Drosophila melanogaster: one gene and its partners. The protein of the gene in region 2 interacts with the protein of the main gene of each other region in a pairwise test. Each region holds a gene or a part of one and is shown on either strand. Other genes may lie near its edges.

Evidence for each region.
Region 1: the proteins of CG8997 (region 2) and AdipoR interact in a two-hybrid assay, tested with the Drosophila melanogaster proteins (one large-scale study listed by BioGRID).
Region 3: the proteins of CG8997 (region 2) and CG10591 interact in a two-hybrid assay, tested with the Drosophila melanogaster proteins (one large-scale study listed by BioGRID).
Region 4: the proteins of CG8997 (region 2) and jigr1 interact in a two-hybrid assay, tested with the Drosophila melanogaster proteins (one large-scale study listed by BioGRID).

Annotation. Positions count from the first base shown.
Region 1 is NT_033777.3:22,542,948-22,550,239, forward strand, and holds AdipoR (adiponectin receptor), read right to left. Parts: upstream 4,900-7,292; 5' UTR 4,712-4,899; intron 4,619-4,711; exon of another isoform or gene 4,437-4,618; intron 4,252-4,436; exon of another isoform or gene 4,177-4,251; 5' UTR 4,131-4,176; coding exon 3,765-4,130; intron 3,327-3,764; exon of another isoform or gene 3,140-3,326; intron 3,085-3,139; exon of another isoform or gene 3,049-3,084; coding exon of another isoform or gene 2,929-3,048; intron 2,837-2,928; coding exon 2,738-2,836; intron 2,524-2,737; coding exon 2,171-2,523; intron 2,113-2,170; coding exon 1,811-2,112; intron 1,748-1,810; coding exon 1,668-1,747; intron 1,611-1,667; coding exon 1,476-1,610; 3' UTR 746-1,475; downstream 1-745. UniProt on the Drosophila melanogaster protein: Adiponectin receptor. In insulin-producing cells, regulates insulin secretion and controls glucose and lipid metabolism.
Region 2 is NT_033779.5:13,843,162-13,847,931, forward strand, and holds CG8997 (uncharacterized protein), read right to left. Parts: upstream 2,165-4,770; 5' UTR 2,102-2,164; coding exon 2,032-2,101; intron 1,968-2,031; coding exon 1,255-1,967; 3' UTR 754-1,254; downstream 1-753. Other genes in the region: CG33306 (uncharacterized protein), read right to left, coding at 1-411, 467-545; CG7916 (uncharacterized protein), read left to right, coding at 3,617-3,722, 3,793-3,958, 4,014-4,605.
Region 3 is NT_037436.4:5,597,416-5,601,770, forward strand, and holds CG10591 (uncharacterized protein), read right to left. Parts: upstream 2,278-4,355; 5' UTR 2,243-2,277; coding exon 2,206-2,242; intron 2,145-2,205; coding exon 1,243-2,144; 3' UTR 1,142-1,242; downstream 1-1,141.
Region 4 is NT_033777.3:25,635,640-25,641,466, forward strand, and holds the start of jigr1 (jing interacting gene regulatory 1), read left to right. Parts: upstream 1-2,203; 5' UTR 2,204-2,433; exon of another isoform or gene 2,434-2,890; intron 2,891-4,153; exon of another isoform or gene 4,154-4,314; intron 4,315-5,827.

The DNA of each region.
Region 1 (7,292 bases), on a different chromosome or scaffold from region 2:
ACGTCGTAATGCTTAACTTTTTGAATGGTTAGCATTTGCTTGATACCTATCCGAAAATGCGTAGTCTTCAAAATCATCAAATCCAAGCCGCACTGTAGCATTTAGCTTTGCACATGCTTACGCCTCATTAAGGCATTTTAAAAATATTTCTCTTTGGCTTTGGTTTTCTCCCACTTTGCCCAACTTCCGAACTGATTTTCGCCTTATTTCGACCAAGTCATTTGCTTTTTTTTCTGCTGAACTTGAATTTTTGTTTGTAAAATAAAACCCCTGCAATCGCATTTAGTTGAAAGACACGTGCCGACAAGTTGTCAAGTACAAAGTTCGATTTATTTGCGCCGTGCAAAATAAAAGGTTTAACGATCTGCGGATTTGTCGATAGAAACTGGCACACGGCGAAGACAATGACGACGCATAGAACACAAGGCAGCAGAGGAATCAGATCGCGATCCGAGATCTCGGCGACTAGACCACGGCTGCTCACTTCATCAAGGGGGTCAAAGTCAACTCGGCATTCGCCCAGTCATCAGCAGACTGAACTCCACTAATAACCCCGATGCGAATTTCTAGTTCTCTGCAGCGATATTTATGGCCAGGCATTAGGGTGATGGCAACCGCCGAATTGCTCAATGGCAATCAGCAAACCTTAAAATAGTTTTTGCGCCAAGAAATAAAATTATATATGGCTTAATATAGCAATCTTCACCAAAACGCTCTTTTAGAAGTCTCAGCTTTTTTTTTTATTGTTTTGATTCGCTTTATGTTTTGTGATAGATCTGCATTTATAATGTATATGGTGATATAATATCTTAGGCTCCATGCGCGATGCTCTGCCGTGTGGGTGCAGGGATGCGGAATTTGTGATGTGCTGTGTATATGTGTGAATATAAAATCAGACCTCATTTAACGATGAAACGTATGTTCATTACTCCATACAACCCTAACAACTCTAAGCGGTAAGGTAAATACTAATGCCACAAGGGGATCATCTAATTGCATAACTTAAAGTAATTGCTTGGCTGACATGGTAGCTCCTTTAGATCCTGTTTTAGCAATGGAACCCTTGAGCGGAAGTCATCTCGTTTTGCCAATTTCAGATGCAAGCAATTCTGCACTACTCGAAATGTAAATCAACTTACGACAACATTAAGTAGACAAATTGGAATTTTATAAATAATTGTACATATATTAATTTCTCTACTGCAGATTTCATTCGACAATCAACTGGTTTTGCAATTTTTTTTTTTCTATGCAAGATTTTGATGATAAATGCGTGTAATTGTGTGTTAAGTGTGTGTTTTTGTCTTCTATATGGTTCCGTTGATTTTGTATAACAAGGTACAAATGCTCCCCAAACGCTAAAAAGGTTGCATTGTAAAACTGCGCTAGTTCGCATTAATATATGTTTTACTCGTACTATGAATGGGATTGTATGTGCTTTTACGATGATTGTTTCTTGGCATCCACTTCAGCATCTAAAAGGTTATTGGTTCGATGGGAACAGTGCATTCGCTATACATGACGCGGTACATGGCCATTTCAGAGATGCCATGGTAGTGGACAAAAGCGGCCGCAATGACCAGTATGTGGAATATTTGATGTGATTGACCCTGCAAAATAAAAGACTGTTAGAACGGTGCAAAGGACAAAACCATCAAGAATCGTACCCAAATGTCAAACTTTCCAGGGAACCAGCGTTCGGGAACACGGAGGGCGTACAGCAGTGCGCCCAGAATGTAGAGGAGGCCTGCAAGATGTATTTTGCCATTGTTTTACCATTATTTTAATATGCATATCTACAAGCACTCACCCATCAGAATTAGCCATCCCAGACTGGCGCGGCTCATCTGGCTGAACCAGCCCTCCATGATGCTGTAGTGAATAGCTGGAATCACACCCGACAGGCCAAAGCTCATAAATACGCCAGCGCGCAAGGGACGAAGTGCCGGCTCCGAAAACTTGTCCCATAGCGAGACCACGATGGAGAGGATGCCCAGAATGCTAACAACGGATAGGTATATCACCTTTGGCTGGTAATGACAGTAGAAGCCATAGTACAGCCAAGGCACAAAGGAACCCATGATCAGCAGCGCAATTCCACAGTAGTCAAGTCTGTTGGTAAACAAAACAATTAACATAATATCCATTTAATTAGTCGAGGAATACTTACTTAGAAAACAGTCTTCCCATCTCTACAGAATGACAGCTCAGTGTGTGAAAAGCGAATGAGAATCCTAGGCACACAATCGCACCGATAAAGAAGGCGCCAAAAACGATCTTCTCCTGTGTCTGGATCTCAACCGAGGGACGCGAGATGAAGTATAATGCCACGCCGATGAAGGCGATGCAGCCAAGAAGATGTGTCCAGATGTTGCCCGTTTCCGTGTGCACGCGGAAAATTGATTTAAAGCACGCACGGAAAGAGGGGAGCGGTGGGCGATGGCCGCGGTGTAGGAAGTCGTTATCCTGCAGCCACTTGGGTAGATTTTTGTAGTGGCACACTTTCCAGCTAGCCTCCCAGACCTACGGATGAAATGGAAAAAAATAACATATCATTCTATAGATAAGACATTACGTTTGGTAACTATAAACAAACAACAACAACAAAAAATACAGTCCCAACACTTAATACTATTTATTGAAATAAAAACAAAAATACAAAAGCTACAATATTACAAATCTTGAAGAGTATCTTCCATTTAAGCCATTCTTCACTTGGCAGCATCACTTGGCTTACCTTGCGCACAAACTCCTCTGCCTGCTCGGCGGCATTGTGTGCCAATGCGCCCAAATCAATTTCATCGGAGAGAACTCCGGCCTTCAGCACTTCCGTCATCTGTGGAATAGAGTGATAAGACATTAAACAGCTCTCAAAACAAATATAAAAAGCTTAATAACAAAGAAAAACTAAGAGCAAATGGGACTAACGACTGCATTTTCAGCTTGCTCCTTGACTGTGTCAGGGTTTTGGGTTCTGTAAGTTTCTTGACTGAGATCCGGCTCCAGATCCGGGTTGACACGCACTATAACCTCCGGCTGGGTCTGCATCTTGAGCGGCTAACAGAGATTCGAACGGAACTAGAACTAAATGTGCGAGGCAATGAGCGATTGTACTGTGAAGCCTCTGCCAGTCGCATACTCAATTTGTTGGCGGAACAAGAAAGCACCGAATGCGTTCCGCGATAAGATAAGCTTGCCCGAAACTGACTCCGGGCATTATCAGCACCGCATCGACGTAAATTTGTGATTTTTTTCCAGCATCTGTCGTATAAAGGGCTATGCCAAAGCTTTTTGCGTTCAATCTAAGCCTGACCTTTAAAGCCGGTGATCAAACGGGCAGATTGTCTAGAGTATAAGGCTCAAAGTCAAGAAATTTTACTTGACACCTTTCGGACAGACATTAAAGGCAAGGAGAGATAAGAGGTATAACTTTCAAATGGCTATGGAATATGCTTTAAATTGAGCAATTGTATTTAGTGAGTCATAAAAATGGAGAAATGGCCACGATAAGGTTTAAGTACAATGGTTATGGTACATTTTGCATGTGGCAAATAGACATTGGCCAATGCAACATTTCGATTGATAAGACGCCCGACATTGAAATGACTGCCTGCGCAGAGGGAAAATTGCGACTAACAAGTGGCAGCCGATAACCACATGGTGGTAGGTCAGCGATAAGAGCTCCGCCACATGTTTTGACGATTGCATTTCGTACTTTTCCACCTGGTGGAAAATGGAAATAAAGGTTAATAGCCCCAACTCACCTCCGCCTCAATAAGCTGTGTGTCCTCCGGGGTCGAGGGGAGTGGACAACCGGCGTCATCCTCCTCGACCAACTCATCGTCGTACTCCAGAATGTCCAGATCATTGGGGCTAAGCGAGTCCTCCGGTCCCCAGCCACGTCGCTTGCGCAGGATCATCTGCACCTGCTCAAAGATATCCTCGTCTGAACCTTCTCTACGCAAGGTGGCCGTGGTGGTGGTCACCGCCTCGCCGGTAGCATGTCCTTCGGCGTCCATGCCGAAAGTGGCTCGAGCCTGGGTGGTTACCTCCACCTCGGCGGGATGGCTCCCGCCACTCACATCAGCCGCTGAGCCCTGTTGCTCGAGGAGATTAGTGGCCGAATCCATGGTCTTACGATCCCGCGGATTCGTTTTGCACTCCGCAAATAGTATTCTGTAAGAGAAATACGTTCTGTTCAATACGATACATACGAATTTAGTTGTTCGAAAGCAATGCTAAGCGTTTGTTAGCTCAACGCTAGCTCGTCTGGGAAATGCGATATTTGTTTATTTGTTTATTGGTCTGCTCCGATCGCATTGCTATATAGTATGGCGCGACCTTTGTTCCCCAGTAAATCGGTTGTACGTAGCACATAAGTCTGTATCTGGTAGCTTTGTGTGTTTTATCACTTAGGAAACTTAGCTGCCAATTACGTTTTTACATAAGATGGTGTTCAAATGCGAGTGGGATCCTCAGTGGGTTAAGGTGCAGTTGCTATTTCGGGGAAACCATTATATAGATAGCAAAGTGCATGGAAAATGCAGCCAGAAGGCCACGTGTGAGTGGAATACTACCAACTGGCTTAACCCCCACCTGCACTCCACTTGCGCAGTTCCCATTTTTTTTATACGAAGTTACAGAAAGTGTCACAACACAAACGAACGATTAATCACTCGATTTCACTGGCGTTTCGTTACTATTCACTTACCACTCGAAAGTCGCGCAGTTGGCGTGGCTTCGACGGCAGGCCCAGGAGTCAACACTGGCGCGAAAAACTATTTGCTGCACTTGCTTCAATTGCGTGCAATTGCAGTTTTTCATCTGTTTTCCCTTAATTTAATTTTTTCTGTGTTTTTTCCAGTGTGACTGCAAGCGCGATAGGGAAAATCACTAGCAATCATATGGGAACGGAGGAAATGCGGTCATACCTTGACGCAGCAGCTGTTAACGGCTGTTAACGCTACTTTGTAGTCACAGCTCTGTAAAACAATGTGGCAACTCTGCGCAGCGCCCGCCATATTTGAAAATGCTTGCCAGCAAATCGTATTGCTCCCGGTAAACAAGGTGCTTTCATTATTAGTCAACATTTTTGAGAGCTAACAACTTTTTATTGGCGATCAAAGGTGGTACTTCAACTGACCAAATATTGGATATTTGCGTAAATACCTAACAGGCATTTGTTTTTTTTTTCATGAGAAATTACCGTGACGAAATTACAAGACGTATATTATATGAATAGAAAATTTTCCTCTAGTCTGTAAACACTTCAGTAACAGAGAAATTGTTTTCAAAAAATGTTAAGGCATCTCATTAAAAAACATCAACAATGAACTCAACTTAAGCCTGGTAGTTATGAATTAGCATGTGTAGTTCCCCGATATTTAACCTACTTAAGTATGCACATATCTGCCATTCCTTGGACACTTTTGCAAAGACAACAAAGACAACATCACAGCTTACTTAAAATATATATATTTAAATTAATTAATTAAAGTAATACAAGAATGTCTAATTATAGCTTTTTTAGAAATAGCATTACGGTGTTATAAAAACCCACAAATGTAGGCAAATAACAATTCTAATAATAAAGAAACTTAATTGGGAAGACAAAATGGTGTTTGGCTAGTGAGGAAATATCACCAGCCTTGCAGGCCCAATAAAGATTCACTTGTTTGGCAAGCTCTTAATAGCGCAATTTAACTACGTTTTAATAGCGCCCTTAGAATATTTATTGCACATAAAGGCCAATATGTTTAGTCAAGAGTCATTCATCTTTGTTAAACAAATTCAATTTCAAACATAAGACTATAGAACTTGCTTTGCTCAGGGGCAGCCCATCAAGATGATATACCCTATTGACCAATCCAGGCCAATATCATCCATCAGCTCTCGGCGTTCTGACCAGCTACGTTAGAAACTCGGCCAAGGAGCAGATTTCGCACAGACCCCGACTAGCGGTATTAATCGACTGAATTAATACATTTAGTAGCGCTGAAGTTCAGGGTCATAATCACAAAAGAGAAGCGCCGATAATGCGAGCTGTTTCTGTTTGAATGACGAGCGCGCGACAAAAAATGCTAAACGGCCAATGTGCTTCAAATGGAAATGGAAATGCCAAAGACCCGGAAGGGTGGCGACCAACACAGCTGCAGTGCATCCAACTCGGCAAACATTTGCATATTTGACCGGGCACTTAGCACGTGGGTGGAGTACATGGATCACCATGGGTCACACAAATCACCTGGGAATCTGGGAGACTGGTGAGAGTAAGTGCGTGAAATTGACCCATTCATTGGACGGACAATCGCTTCCCATCGATCTGGAAATGTGTTAACTGCGCCCGTAAACCCTATTTGCGTAGTTAAATTAAGTGCCAGGTTATGGAGTTGGGGCGTGTCATCCCCCACATTGGCACATATATATATATATATATAAGCACTTATAACTATGCTGCCAATTGAGTTCGTCTCAATGACGTGACGGCGATAATAAATCAATTGTCTAGCGGTTTATTTAAAGCCAATTTTGTAGCTGGAAATTGGCACACAGAAAGAAAAGTGGTGTCAGGAACTTATATATAAAATGTTATTATTTTGGTTATTTTTAAAGGGTCTAATGGAACTATTTTTATTATAAAAATGTAGATAATTTTTTAAGCATTTCTTTATAGAGATGTTTTTAGAAAAATGTTTTTTTAAATGGGCACACAGAAAGAAAAGTGGTGTCAGGAACTTACATATATAAAATATTATCCATATCTATTTTGTTAATTTTAAAGGGTCTAATGGAACTATTTTTATTACAAAAATGTAGTTAATTTTTTAAGCATTTCTTTATAGAGATGTTTTTTAGAAATAACACAGTATCAAACGAAAGTGGCGAGGATGACGCAAAATCCAATTAACCTGAGTTATCACTGAAAGGTCAAAGCACATAATAAAAATATAAACTCCATCGTGCGGTCTAAAAATCGCGACACATTATATATAAATATAAAGTGCATGTATATATTTTTTTAGAAATTCATTCCAAACACTTTCAGTGGCATACAAACAGATTTTCATAAAATTGTTAACAATTTATGATGATGAACTAGAGTCTCTCATAGTATGTTCTATGTATGTTCGTTAAATTCTAAACATATACCATAATATATATATGTATATGTATACATGTATACTAATATTGAAGTATATTTCGTTTTTACTGTGTACTTTTTCGCTTCCCTCTTTGCTTTCGTTTTCTTTTTGCCGCTCTTTTTGCGATAGGATCTGCATGTTTTTTTGGCC
Region 2 (4,770 bases):
CACGAAGCTGGGAAGTGAACACGCCCAGGGAGTAGCTAATTCTACCCTGAATGTTCAGATCCTCGAGAGCAAAGAAGGCGCCACCGTTGCGCTTGATGCGATAGCCACTGCCCATGTCCATCTCGTAATCGGTGGTGAAGTTAAGGCTGGCAAAGTTGATGTTGAAGGTCAAGCGACTCCTGATCACGTCCATGTTCATGGTGATAATCTCGTACTGATCGAGCCCCTGAAGTTCAAAGTTCTCGACTCCAAAGGTGCCACTGAATTCTCCCGAGTTGATTTCGAACGACCTCTGCGCCGCCTTCATGGGTGCCATAACGGGGATTCCAAATCTCGGGCTACCATTTTGCAGGACGACCCTGAATGCCTCCAATCCGTCCACAATTACGCTGGAGAAAGAGCGTCCTTGGGCTGAAAATTAACTATGATTATTAAATTTTCCCTAAAATTTTCTTCATATTCTCACCTGACAAAGGTTCGGCAACTTCGGCACCTTGACAGCTGGCCAGGGCCACGATAAGCGCAATCAGGAATGCAGACTTCATTCTTAGCACAGAACACTAGTTAACCCTTTTGGCAATCAAAATCCACTAGTCGAAGCTTGCCAAATCCATTCCTCTTATATAGGAAAATGACCATTGAGATAATCTATCGGTACACAGCACAAAAATATCAGTGTCTAGATTAAAAAATTTTAATATTAGGAAAACTTCTATGTACAGTGAATAAACAGTGAATGCTTTCTTGGCTTATATTTACAAAAACATGGTTGAAATATGGAACAATTTGTTATTTATTCTTAAATAATTAGTGTTTATAAAGGTTTAAAGAAATATTAGGGGCATTCCTCTCATATCAAAATTATTGTTTATTGACACAAAATGGTGAGGTATTGAGTACAGTGCTCTAAGATATTCCCTTTGATATAAAAATCATATTCTGAAAATCGCTATATCTTATTATATTATTTTGTATGAATCTACATTTTTTTTCTGTGCATGTGAAGTAGCTTTATTAATCGGCAAATAATTTGGCAAAGTGTTTTATGACAGATAGGACACAACTTGAGATTAGACCGTCTTTGAAATATAATGAAAGCTGATGGATGTTGTAAATATTAAGCTTTTTAAAACATCGTTTAAATTTCCCAATGCAATGAACAAAAAAAAACCCACCGAAAGCCAGTCCCGCAAGAAAAGAGCCAGGTGACGAATTCTTGATTCATAAACGGTTGTTTAATGACCGATGATTTGTTTACCACTCGAACTCGGGGGGAATGCAGGCCTCCTTCTCTCCACCCTCACCATCACCACCGGCACCGGAGATGATCTCGGCGATGCTGATGTCGTCCAGAACGCTGTTGACGGCGGGCAGGGCAATACTCTCGATGGTATCGGCAATCAGATCTTCGTTCTCATTGATGGCCAGCTCCACGGCCTCGGCCAAGTACTCATTCATCTTCTCGTTGATGCTGCCATCGCCCAGGATGCCCTCGATCTCGGAATCAACCTCACCCAAGTGGGTGCGGACCTCCAATGACTTCAGCTTCAGGTTGCCGCTGATCACGCCGAGTGAGTACTTCATAGTGCCCCAGATAACCATATCCTTGATGGCGAATTTGGCATGTCCGGCACCGATCAGATTGATGGTAAATCCGTACTTCTTTAGCAGCACACTCAAATCGTATTGGGTATCCACGTTCACGTCGCGGAAAGTGAACTTGTAGGTCACCTTGCTGGTGATGGCGTTGACCTTCATCTCATCGATATCAAAATCATTCAGACCGTTCAGGCGGAAGTGATCAATGGTTCCCTGAGCCTTCAGCACGCTGCTATCGATGTTGATATCCTGATGGTCAATTCTAAGAGGAGCCAATGGCGGCAGGCCGACACTGGTAAAGCCACAGGGCATCTGCTCCTTAATGCCCTCGATCACATCCACAATCGTGCTGGAGATCGACTGGGTTTCTAGAGAATCAAATGGATAGGTATGCTAAATATTTGGGCATTGGAAATCATCTGGAATACTCACCAATGGGCTGGCCCATGGAAGCCGCACTGGCAACGGCCACAAAAGCCAAAATAGCCACGAAGATTTTCATTATTGCTTTGACTGAGAGTCCTACCGACTGATCGTAGTACCTACGGTATTTATACTACTCAGTCGTCCGGTCGCACGAGTCGCTTTTTATAGACGATCAACATTTCAGGTGGGGTTGTGATAAGGTGGCTTCGTACTCGTGAACGATTTGATTAGCCACCGGGCGTTCAATCGATGGCCTATTGCTGTCTTATCTCGGCCAACGATTCCCCGGTTGGCAAATTTTTTAATTTTAATGATTAGTTATATATACATACATGGGGGTACTTATCCTAAGGAAATGATCAGATTTAAAAAGACAGTTTTCACTAAAGTACAAACATTGCCTTCTTGTGGAGGAGTGTCAAGATCAAAGTCTATTTGGGGTGTGTCCCCGCTTTGTTATGGTTAGAAGGCTTCAAAAAAGTGTGTTTTTCTAAAACGTTTTCTAAAAAAGAAGGTGTAGGATTAGTGGTTGACTTGGAAACAAGATTTTAAAATCATTAGTTTCGCGATTACAGAGTACTCATACATTAAATGTATGGTCTTACGAAAACTTTCCATCAATCGATATTTTAAGGTCATGCAGGTGTTGAAGCCAATAGGAAACATTTTAACAAAGTAATTATCAAAATTGAAAACGACTACCAAAAATTTAGCATGATTATAATCTTCTAAAGAAGTCTGTTTGGAATTAAAATTCTCCATGCACTTCTGCGGATCTAAAGTCTGCGAAAAGTTTGTTTATTGATTAACAATCAAGTGATTTTTAAGTGCATTGAGTGATTTATGAATGATATCTCGACTGGGGTATTTAAAGGTCTTACGAATGGATCTATTAATAAAAAAATCCAGACGATTAACACCTGATGGCTAGTCAAATACTCTCTTAACGAATTATTGGCTTTAAAGTTAACGCCAGTCCTAGCCCAATATGTTTATCAATAAGTAGTTTACCCATTGTGTTAGTTCCCCTTGTAAAATCGTAATCAGAATAGCAATAAATCACTTTTTAGTACGCCTTTAAGGTTCTAAAGAGTACAAAAAAGCCACTGAAGCTCTGAAGACAAAAGAATTTACCCCCACTGAGTGATACGAATCGGTCATCCAGTGTAATCCGCCGACACCTGCATGGAGTGGTTGACGCAGTTTTACCCCCGGTAGACCAGTTATTTGTGTATAATCCAGATCGCAATGATAGGCAATATATATTCTTTAAGTGATATTGACAATCGATTGGCCAATTGGACGTCGAGATTAGGCCAAAACAAGCCACTCAGGCGAAACAAGTGCTCCCTTTTTTTACAAACCACTTGCCGAATGATTTGATTCCTTCGTTTTTAAATCGGAAGCCTATCGTGAATTGGGCGTTATGTTCATGGCAGCTCCGCTAATCAAAAGTAGCGATTAGCATTTGTATTTGTTAACCTGGTTAAGTGATCCCTTCCCTTCCCCTCGGCTTGCCCTTCGAATCCGCTAGCTTTGCTATAAAAGCCACTGACCGGCTGGGACAATCAATCAGGTGGCTGGCTATACAATGAAAGCTATCGTTTGTGTTTTTGTGACCCTTTTGGCCTGCGTAGCGGCCTACGATGTGGAGCTGCTCACCGAGGAGCAATGGGACCAGCTGGTGGCGCGTAATCGTAAGTGTCTTAAGCCATCCATCACCTGACCAAACAGAGGACTAATTGCAATGTGATTCCCCGCAAACAGCCGCCAAGCCCGATACTCAGGGTCTGATCTTGAACGGATCGGTGAAGAAGGCCATCAATGGACTGCTGAACCAAATGCCTTGTGGTTGGCCCCAATATGGAATTCCACCACTGGATCCCTACACCAATGCTGATCTCCGCATCCACTTGGCCGAGTCGGTTGTCGAGTGAGTTATAATTAATTGGAGTGATTGTATCAGTGGATCTAATAGTCATCCTTAGTACCCTGCTGCAGTTCCTGCGCTTCCGTTTCGATGGCCTGGAAGGCATGGAGATCAAGAAGATGAAGGTCAGCTACACCTTTAGCAAGAAGGTCAAGTTCCACTTCAACTTCCCAGAGCTGAAGGCCAGTGCCCACTATTTGGACACCAACACCTTTGTGAATCTGCTGAAGGAACTGGGATTGTCGGTGCGCTACGAGAGCTCGGGCCCATTGTCCTTCAGCCTGCAGAATCTGTCGATTCAGGGCGAGTTCAAGTACAAGATGCCCTTCATCTTTGGCTCCATCAAGATCTACAAGTTCAGTTGCGCCGTCGGCTTGGGCGGTGTATCCTCGAACATTGGCGGTGTAATGGGAAATGGAAGGATCAATGAGTTCATCAACGACATGCTCGACAAGGAGATCCCGGCCTTCATCAATGGCAACCAGGAACAGATCAGCGCCAAGATCGAGGAGATCTTTGTGCCGCTGGCCAATGCGCATCTCACGGGTCACAAGATCTGGTATCTCTTTAGCTTGCTGTCCGCCACCACTGGCAGTTGCAATCCCACTCCCGCTCCCTGGTTGGCCATTGAGTCCAGGAAGCTAGACTAAGGCAACACCAGCCAATAAAAAGCAATTCAAACGAGTCCACGATCTACGTTTTAATTAGTCCCCATTCCGTCTGCTATCTTCGCTCAATATCACCTTCTACGCGTTATCGTCTGCTGGGGATTTTGGTATATAAGACTCTGGCCGGGGGTTGGCCATTTCAGTAGC
Region 3 (4,355 bases), on a different chromosome or scaffold from region 2:
ACAATTTATATTTGCGACTTTTTCTAACTGACAGTGGTGTGATTGAAAAATGAGAAAGGAATTTGTTTTTTTTTTTTTGTATTTTTATCTAACAACTTACCATTTTTTCGAATGGGTACTTTTCCATTCGTAGATTCTAAGATCTTGATAGTAGGACTTGTGGAGCCAAATGAATACGCATTGGACTTTGCTATGCATGGGGCATTCCTTCCAAGAAAAACCACATTTAACAAAATATGTACTTCTGATTAAATATAAACGTTAATGGGTGATAAGTGGCTTATTTTTTTTTTTTTTTGACTTTGTACAGACAAATGACGCAAAAGGATGGACTTTAATAAAACGACTAAGAACATGCAATTTTTACGTCTCAAAAGAAAATCGAAATTCGTTACAAAGTTCCATTCTGTAAAACATATTATGTGGGGTACTAGTATACAAAACACTTTTTATGCAGAGCTGATCTTAAATAATTAAAAAGATAAAAAAGGATTGTTTAAATATAAGAGTTAATCTGATTGACAAAGTTCAAATTCTTAGAAATTAAATTATCGCTTTTCTGTACTGAAAAGTGTATCCAATGACGTTAAACGAATTAACTCTAAAATTGTTTACCCACCGCTTCGAAGGAATTTTATTTTTACAATACCAATGACAAGTTAAATTTAATTTAAGTCTATCAAAAATTGATTAACTGTGTTATGACTGCAACTAAATTAAAATCATTTGTAGCAAATTAAACTTGATTCCAATCAAATCGATTGGATTGATACCTTTAATTCCTATTATCGTTATTGATTTTCAAAATGTTTTGATAGACTTAAAAAGCGTTAAGTACTCACGCCTATTATGCTTATAAAAAAATTTAATAGGCATCGCAATGTTATGACGATTGAATTTTTCTTGTGAATCTCACGTATTTAACGCAGATTGACTGTTGACAATTGTAATTCATAATTCTTTGGGGGATTACCCTCGAATAGGTATTTCTATTTTTATCCGTATTTATCTTATAAATACCAAGAAATGATATCGTACTTTGTTGACGAAGCTTGAACGAATAACACAAGTGCCAGCTCTACATAACAAGTCAGACAACTAAAAGATCTATAGATGAAAGACATAAAAGAGACATCTTAATACCTCTACTTCCATATCAAATGGTCATTTATATTCTTTTTAGACATTATCAGTACAGTTTTTATTAAATTATTAAACTAAATTTAATCTTAAGTTTTCCCTTCAAATGATGACTGCATATTGGTTTGAGTTACGCGGTTGGATGAGCGTGGCATACTTCTCCTTCAGTTCGACCAAAGCCCTCTGGAAGTTCTCCACGCTGCTCTCGAGCTGGTTGGGACTGAGCTGCTGGACGGACTGGCCCTTGAGTAGACCATCGGTGGGTCGCTCTCCCAGGAGGAGAATCCTTCTCCAATCGCTGGCATCGGAGCTACCTCGCAGGAAGTCCTTGCGATTGCCAACCGCAAACACAGTTTCCTCCATATTCTCGGGCAAAATTGTGGGCTGCTGGGCTCCCAGATCGCCGGGCGTGGGTTGAGTTGGTGGCACTTGGACTGCTGGTGGTGTGATCCCCGAGAGAGATGACGATGTGGGTTGCGGTGGAGGAATGGGAGCACCGGAACCTTGGTTCACCGGTGTATCGAACAGTTCACTGGGCAGATTCTGCGGTCGATCGATCTGCACCACCTGGCCATCGGGTGAAATGTGGAAGAACTGAGCGCGACCAGCTAATCCCGTTCCTGGTCCTCCTGGAATCACTATAATGTTGCCCACAGCGGTGGTCAATGCAGAGGCTCCACCAAATCCGCCACCACCTGGGGTGGAAATGAAAGGAGGGACTGGAACTCCCGGTGGCGGAAAGGATCTCAAAGGTGGAGGAGCTGGGCATGGGAAACAATATCCAGGAGGACCAGGCGGTCCTGGTAAGCCTCTAGGCCCCTGGATGAAAGGCAGATTTGGGGGGTAAGGACCTGTGGGTGGATAGCCCCAGTAGCCAGAACCACTGCCAGAGAGACCGTTCTGATTGCCAGGAGGTCCAGGCGGACCTGGAGGTCCTCGTTCCCCCTGTGGACCAGGATCACAAGAGCATTTCACCAACGAAGCCTGGGCGGTGGAGCAAAGACCTGATGGAATATATGGTATTGTAATATTGTAGAAAAATTTATAAATGTTTTATAAACTTACCAGCAACCAGAAAAGCCAAGAGTCCCAAAAAACTCATGATGTACTTCGGATTTCTCTTCAGATCGGACTGAGATCCAAAATTCGAATTCGGCTTTTATAAGCTGAAAAACTCGAGAGCTACGTTTTAATATGCATAGAAAATATACAAAATAATCTCTAGATCGAACAGAAAACACATTTCCCGCATCTCTATAACTGTTCTTAACCCACCATCGAAAGGGAAATGCTAAGCGATCAAAAGGAAAAATGCCATCACCCAGTCGGCGCAGTGACAATTATGATAATTTATGCAACAAAATATACACGAACATCATTAGGCCCGACGACAAGCCTTTAAACTGGGTCAGCAGGGTTCTCGGTTTGATTCTTGGCCAGCCAGCCGCAATCAGCGGGACAACTTCAAAAATACATCAACTGTCTATCAGGTCATAAACAGTGATCAGATTGTAGAGTTTATGTGACCAAATGTGGGCGATACCCATCAAAGTGACACCCAGATTTTTGAATTGCCTTTTCATCAAAACGGAAACTCTTCAGGGATTATCCCAAGCGCCTTTACAGTTTCCACTGCCCAGAATTAGCATAAATTACGAAATCAATATGTTTCCAATCAGTTACCACACTACCACGGCTAGAAATGAAAAGGCTCTGTAACATTTCCGACTTATCACAGAATTCCATTGACGAGACAAAGCCCACCGAAAACACGCGTCATTAGTGGACGAGTGCCCACTCCGTAGGTGTTCACTTCCAAACTAGCGCCGTTCCCTGGAACTATGATGACACTGGGCCTCTTGAAAGTCCCGATAAGCAGAGAAGTAAATCCGGATGAAGGGTGGCTTGTGGCAGCAGTTGAAACCATTCGATACACTTCAAAATAGTTGTTTACTAGAAACTGCTAATCTCAAAGGTATGTCCATAGGTTATCTTACCAAACTTCCGAAACTTTGAATTAAAACGTACTTAGTGCTGAAGGAAAATTATTCAGTACTTATACTGATAATATTTTTGAAAGTTGCTTGTATTTGAAACAACTTAAGTCATTTATTCATATAGTTGATTCTGGAAAGCTCACCAAACATTTTAGGGTATAAGACACACTGTGTGTAAACACTGCAGTGATTGGTCGTATACGTAATATAAACATAGTTCAGTTACTTGAGACAAATCGAACATCATCAGTTAACGACAAGAATCCGAAAGGCTTTATCAATGGTGTTGTCATGGAATAACCCCAAAGTACTCCATCCATCCTGTGCTCCCAAACGAAAAGAAAACGAATGGAAGTGCCAGAATTGGCCCCCTAATAAATGGGATGATAAGACCGTTGAAGTTGTTTGCCTCCCAGTAATTGGAAAACAATTTGAGGGTCAATGTTACCGAGTGAATCAAAAATAGTAAAAGTGAAACGATCTGTGTGTTCGCTGATAATGGCCAAGATGAAGGGGGCTTATACTGTCATAAACTTTTTTTTTGGTTTTATATATTGAATTTATTATTAGATTATCGACTATTGCTAATCAGCACATTTCTTGCATCGTACATAACTTAATTGGCGCAAACAAGTTCAAGTCACATTTTGTTGCAGTTGCATAGATTGATAAGTTTTCTAGGCAAACAATTCAAATAAAATACTCGATGTACACCGTATGCAACGTAACATACGCACATATATGACATAAAAGTTATCTTCGGAAATATATCAAATATTTTGTGTAAGCAAGCTTCTTAGTAATTTAAGTAAGTAGAGAAATGTTATTTTATGGAACAGTAGAAATTACAAAACCAAAAATTAGTGTATAGGATTAATTGACTCTTAAAACTAGCAAAACGTAAATGCAACAGAAAGAGCTTTTAATTCACAATGTTTTCCCAAATTTTCTCATTTGAAACGTCTAGTCTTATAATTCCGAAGTAAACCTTTTAGGTGATATATGTAGTTTGCGTATACATCGTTAAACTGAATCTTTTATCTTTGGTGCGAATATATTGGACTGGCATTCATTTTCACACCAACATGAGAAGTGGGTAACCCAAAGAGACGAAAAGAGGAGAGCCAACTGGAGCTAAAGTTGTGAAACAGAACTAAAACTCTACTCAATAAATACAATTGTTAATCGATTAGGATGATATACAGATCTGGGGGTGGG
Region 4 (5,827 bases), on a different chromosome or scaffold from region 2:
AGTTTCGCCGCTGGATAGTTGGCCTTCGATGGCTGCGTTCTGCGATACCTTCGTCCTGACAATAGAAATGGAAAATTCAGGCAAACAGGAGCAGAAATGGGAAGGGACCAAGTAGAAGAAGAAGCAGGAGAGTGCGTAAGCCGCAAGGATCAGAAGGATCTGGAAACAGATGGTACAGCTGCGCGGAATACAACCAAAGCTTAACCCACTAAGGATAGGGGTTTCTAAACAAGTAAACTTTGACCTCTTGAAAATTTATGATACACTACATTTGAAACCTATCGTGTTATATTAATAAACAAAAGTATGTTTTCAGTACTTTTAAATGTAAGTATGTATATCATCTAACCATTGTAACTATAAGCAAAGATGGGTTTATTTATATGCAAAATGTAGCTTGCTTATTTAGGGGTTAAGCATCCAGGGGCTGGGGAATCGATTGGCATTCGGCAGATGTTGTCCTGTGGCACATCCTTTGTAATTAACAAAGGAGTGCGGTGGAGTCGGCGGTGAGAAGAGACCTCGAGGCACGGGTTAAGCCCATTAAAAGTCCCCAACGACTCGAGCCCGTTTGTGTGTACAGTTGCCATTGGGATCGTTCAGCCGCGCTCTTAGTCGGTCCTTCAGTTAGTCAGTCATTCAGTCCGTCAGTCAGTCATACCGTCAGTCATTTAGCCACTCAGTCAGTTTGCCAACCTGTCTCTGTTTGGCATCACCTGCCATCGCCATCGTCTGTTGTCTGTTAATGTGTTTAATGATGCCCTGGCCATCGGCGATCTCAGTTCAGTTTTCATTTATGCTAAATTGCGACTCTTATGCTGCGCTGCAAAAAAGCTGAAATATTAGCCGTCCTCATTATATAAGTACAGACACATTGAAGATAAGCATAAAGCACAATTACAAGCCGAATAAAAAGTTAGTAAACTTAAATCCTTTGTTGGTTTCATTTTCGAAATATGTTATTGATCTTACAAATGATCTTAAATGCCATTAATTGATTTATAGTTCTTAGTTCTTTGATCAAGCTTAAAAAGGATCTGGTTGAAAGAAATGTAATAAATTTCATGGTATCTTTTTCATAGCTAAGCGATCAGCTCTGCTCAAGGTGTGACTATGAGACTCTGTGCCACTCCAGATGTGTCCGGACATGCCTCGTGCCTCAGCGATTGTCCTGATGCGCGATATGCGGGCAGCGCGGGTCTTCGTCTTCTGGTTTCTTCATCGATCTCTAGCCACGCGCCGCAACTTTCCTCGCGACTCTCGGTCGCACTCTTGCCGCCGATGCACCTGCTCGCCAACCAAATGTAAACCCAACTGGCCACCGAATGTGGGCCGCCCTAATGGAGTTGTCCCCGGGCCCAAGGTTCGCAACTTTTACCAGCCTGCTCTGGGCGATCATTAGCTGACAGAAGGCCTCACTCGACGGACAACATTTTTTGGGCTTTAAGTCTTAGTTAAAACTTCTTTTTTGGGCTTCTAGGGGATCTTCTATGCATTCGGAAGGATACAATTGCTGATGTTGGGATATGTACCTATAGTAAGTCAGCAATGAATTTGCTTTCATAAATATACATTAAATCTTTTAAAGTGTATCCTTTACGCAGAACTTTCCATATCTAAATATGTCTCTTAAATTTAAAAATATATTATAAATTATTCTAGAAGTATCCTAAAAAAATCTATTAGGTGAGGCTTTTGAAATCCTTCAAAATCAGTGGCTGCATCCTTATTTAGACAGTCTCTTTCTCGTATGACATAACATCCCCCTGTTCTACGACATTCCAGAAGCCTTGTTAGGGAAACCTTTGGTCCTTTCTGGGAGAGTATCAAGCGATTCGGCGCAGAGAGCGAACAAAGATCGAGGTACCCTTTATTTTTCGAGAGTAAGAGAGTTCATACGAGTTGCTAAGGATATAGCTATGCATCTTATTCTGCATTTAAATTTAAACCAATACACTATGAAAATCCTTAAACAAAAGTATAATTTATACACATATGTATGTATACTTAAGTTGTTATATTTTATGTCTAGCTAACGTCAGACTCCACGACTTGAAGTGTTACTTTATACATTCTATGCCCCTTAAAAGGCAGGTAGTAGGTATCTAAAAGTTGCCACCCCTGCGAGCTGCGTTCCTTTTTGCAGCCGCTGCTTCTGCCGGCGTCGGCAGAGAAATTCGAGTCTGAGTTCTGAAGTCGTTTTCGTTGAGGCGACGAGCTGAGTCGCCGCTGTGGAGGAAATTCAATTGCGCGCAATCCATCGGCGGCGACGGTTGTGTCTCAAAAGAGCCTTCCAACTCCTGACTACTACTGATCAAAAGAAATAAAAGTAAAAAGTGACCAAGTTACTGCGGATCGAGGAAGTTAAAGCCTTGAGCCTCCGGCACGACGATGGTGTGTTAAACATTTTTGTGCGCTTGTGTTTGTTTGTCGGTGAGTTGAGTGCGCGCGCTACTTTTATTTGTTAACTTCACCAAACAGAACCGTTAGTCCCAAGTGCCCTCACAAAAAAAAAAAAATAGAAAAACACCAACTAAAGGAAAAGAAACATCATAAACCGACGAAATATCCCCCAAAGAATCTGTGTAAAAGTGCAAAGAGACAAGGCGGAGAATGCGCCCGAAAAAATCAAGGAAAAAATAACAGAAAAAACATTTGGCTGGGTGCGGTGATCTTGAACCCGGGCTCAACTCCGCGTAACGGTGCATCGGCAAGTGCAGGAAGAAATGGGTGAAGATGGAATAGAGGAGGAAGGAGGAGAAGAAGGATGAGGAGCGCGATGAGGCCGTTGCATTTCTTTTGATTGCTTGTGTATCATCTTCGGGGATCTCTGAGCGCCCACTCTTTTTGCGGGCATTTTCCGCTCATTTTTGGCGCAGCCTCCCAAAAGGTAATCTCCCCAAGTTCCCAAGACCAGCGTTATAAAACTGCCGTTAGTTTTTTTATGTTTAACCGTTTTTGGGCGCAGCCGCGAGGAGTGACTCTCTCCTGCAGATAATTACGGCAAAAAGGTGAAGAATTTATGCTGACCATCAAAATAGCTAATAGTTGGAAGTTAAACTAAAGCGCTCTGCTAAAAAGTCTTTTTGCGCCCAAATGATTGTGCATATAGGCGGGGAAAATGGCGATTTTCCTGTCGCCTTTTGATTTATTTACATGTGCTTTTGCAGAAGCACAAAGAAATAAGAAGCCATTCTTTGTGCAGAAGTCAAACAAACATTCTGACTCATTCTCTTCGCGCTCTTTTTTGTTGAACTTTTATTTGTTTTTTAACATGAGCCCCAGTGCGGGAGAAAGAGCAAGTAAAGTTAAAGTAACGGACAAGGAACATAAGCATCGTCATCGCCCCCAGTTCTTCTCCTTATCCCTACCATCATCACGTGTCGCCAACTCTGTTCTTCGCCTACACAGACATAAAATGTGAGGATCTTAATTTAAATTAGAATGGCAGTTGTAGTTTTTAAAAAGTATTTAAACTAAATATTAAACCAGGATAACTTATTTATTTTTCAAAATCTTCACACTTTCTTCAAGAAACCGATTGATTGAATAATCATTTTGACGAACTTTGATGATGATTCGTATAAGCTATTTCTCTCAGTGCACGCTTTTTGCTCTGGCCATCAGCCATGTCAGCGCCTTCATTATAATAATTTTTATTGCTTTTGCATAAATCAAAAATCATGGAAAAAGAAACAACTGGCAATCGTAAAATGTGAAGAGAGGCTACAAAACATAAAAGGTGCGTTTTTCGACTGTCTGCACTAATTTCACAAAATGTTGTTCGTTGGACCCGCGTTTTCCTTTTTTTTCTTAATCCTCGCATTTCCGTTACTGTTGCTTTTGTTTTTGTGCCAAATCATTGCGGTCTCTGCATACAAATTCATTAGTGACGGCCCCTATTCTTTGCTCTTCTTGCTCCTTTGGAAGAATTCTCCATCTTCACCTTCTCCACCTCCCACACACTCTCGTTTCTGGGAATTGCCATTTTTGTTTTTGTTGTTGTTGGAGCACCTTTCTTGCAGCGGATTCTGCAGGAACTCACACGGCGCCCTCTCTTCTCATCCCCATTTTTTACAAAGCCTCCTTGTTTCTCGCTTTTCTACAGAATTATGCACAAGGCCTAGGGGCAACTTTCTTTTTGTGTGTTTTTAGTTCACAGTTGATAGGCAAAACTTCTGGACCTTTTCAACTCAAATGTAGATAATAGGAAATCAAGGAAAATGCTGCAGTAAAACTACTTTCTTGATGTGAAATATTATTTATACACTCATTTCTTTCCTATACTATTAATTATAACAATTCATGGGTCATGTAAGCATTTATCGTAGTCCATATCAATCAGTCCCAATCTGTCTTTTGCCACATTAGTTTCCCATGGAGTGAACATAACCTTCTAACGCAACAAAGCTCCACATTCCCTAAATAAATTTCAACACTTTGTTTTGTAGCTCTTTCGGAGTCTACAAAACCGAAGCGCACAAAAAATTAAGATCAAATTTTTACCAGCTGCTTAGTTTCAATTTCTTTTTGCTCGATTCTGTCCTGATTACTGTAACCAAAAATGTGACCCACACCCCCTCCCAAAAGCCCACACTTTGACAATTTGGTCACTAATTTTAGGGCCCTATACTCCGATGTCTGAGCGAAATACAGTTGTCGGTAAAATTTTATTGATCTTCGTTTTTTCTGCACAAAAATATAAAATTGTTTCATGGTCGAGGCTCGTCGTTGCTGTTGTTGCCGACGAAATCGAAATCTCGCCAAGAAGCAAACGGCAATCAGCAAATCGAATTCAAAACGCGTGTGTGGAGGGAGGAAGTCCCAGATCCCAGAAGAAGATCCCTTAAGAGAGCCCAAAGAGACGACTCCAGACTTGAGACGCGCCACGACAATAACAACAACAAAGCCGCAATCAGCAAATACTTGGTTTAGGCGGGCCAATACACCGGAAACAATCAAGACTAATATTGACATGACATACCTTAACTAAAATCACTTTGATAGGTGCAAAGATAGTTTCAAGGTTCCAGTCTATTCAATTTATATGTAATTATTTATTCAAATTTGGCGAGGTTATTAATTATCTTATTTGACCGTTATGACTGGGTAATATTTGGCAGTGTAGCCACTGTCCCATCGAAGAGCCACAAAGGGCCGCCCGAAAAAATATTTTTATCTTGATATTTCTGTTTTTTTGCCGCTGTTTGTTGTTGTTGCTGTTCTAAATACGCCAAAAGTTGCTTTCAGGGCATAAATATATGTCTTTAGTGTGGCATGTCTGGTTGCGTTTTTGGAACTTGGTAAATGGGAACGAATACAGACGGACCTGACCAAAAAATCTGGACCCGGGATCCCAAAGTCGGGCAGAATTCATGGAATTAGTTAACGATTAATGATTGGATATTGATTTCGCTTTTGTGGCCTCTGAGTGGTTGGATCGAGTGACTCTCTTTGGCAACTTGGCCCGTCCGTTTCGCTTTTACTACTCATTAATTTCCTTTAACTATCTTGAGGGGCATTAAAAAACACTGCTGAGCAAAATGAAGTTCCTGCGGCAACATCTTATTCGCATTGGCTTCTTTCTCCATTGAAGAAGCCACTTTACATAGTTTATTTGCGTTGTTGCCAACTTTCTTTTTGAGAGATTCTCTTCCTTATAGCGTCGCTAACAGCTTTACGATCTGAGCAGACATAAAACTCGCAGCCAAGGAAGATAACACTCTACTGCCAGTGCCAGAAGAATGGAATGGGGATTCTACGCTGTTCAGGTAGTATTCTTCGTTTCTGGGAAACTTAATTTGTGCTCCTGGCCGCCATATCAAAT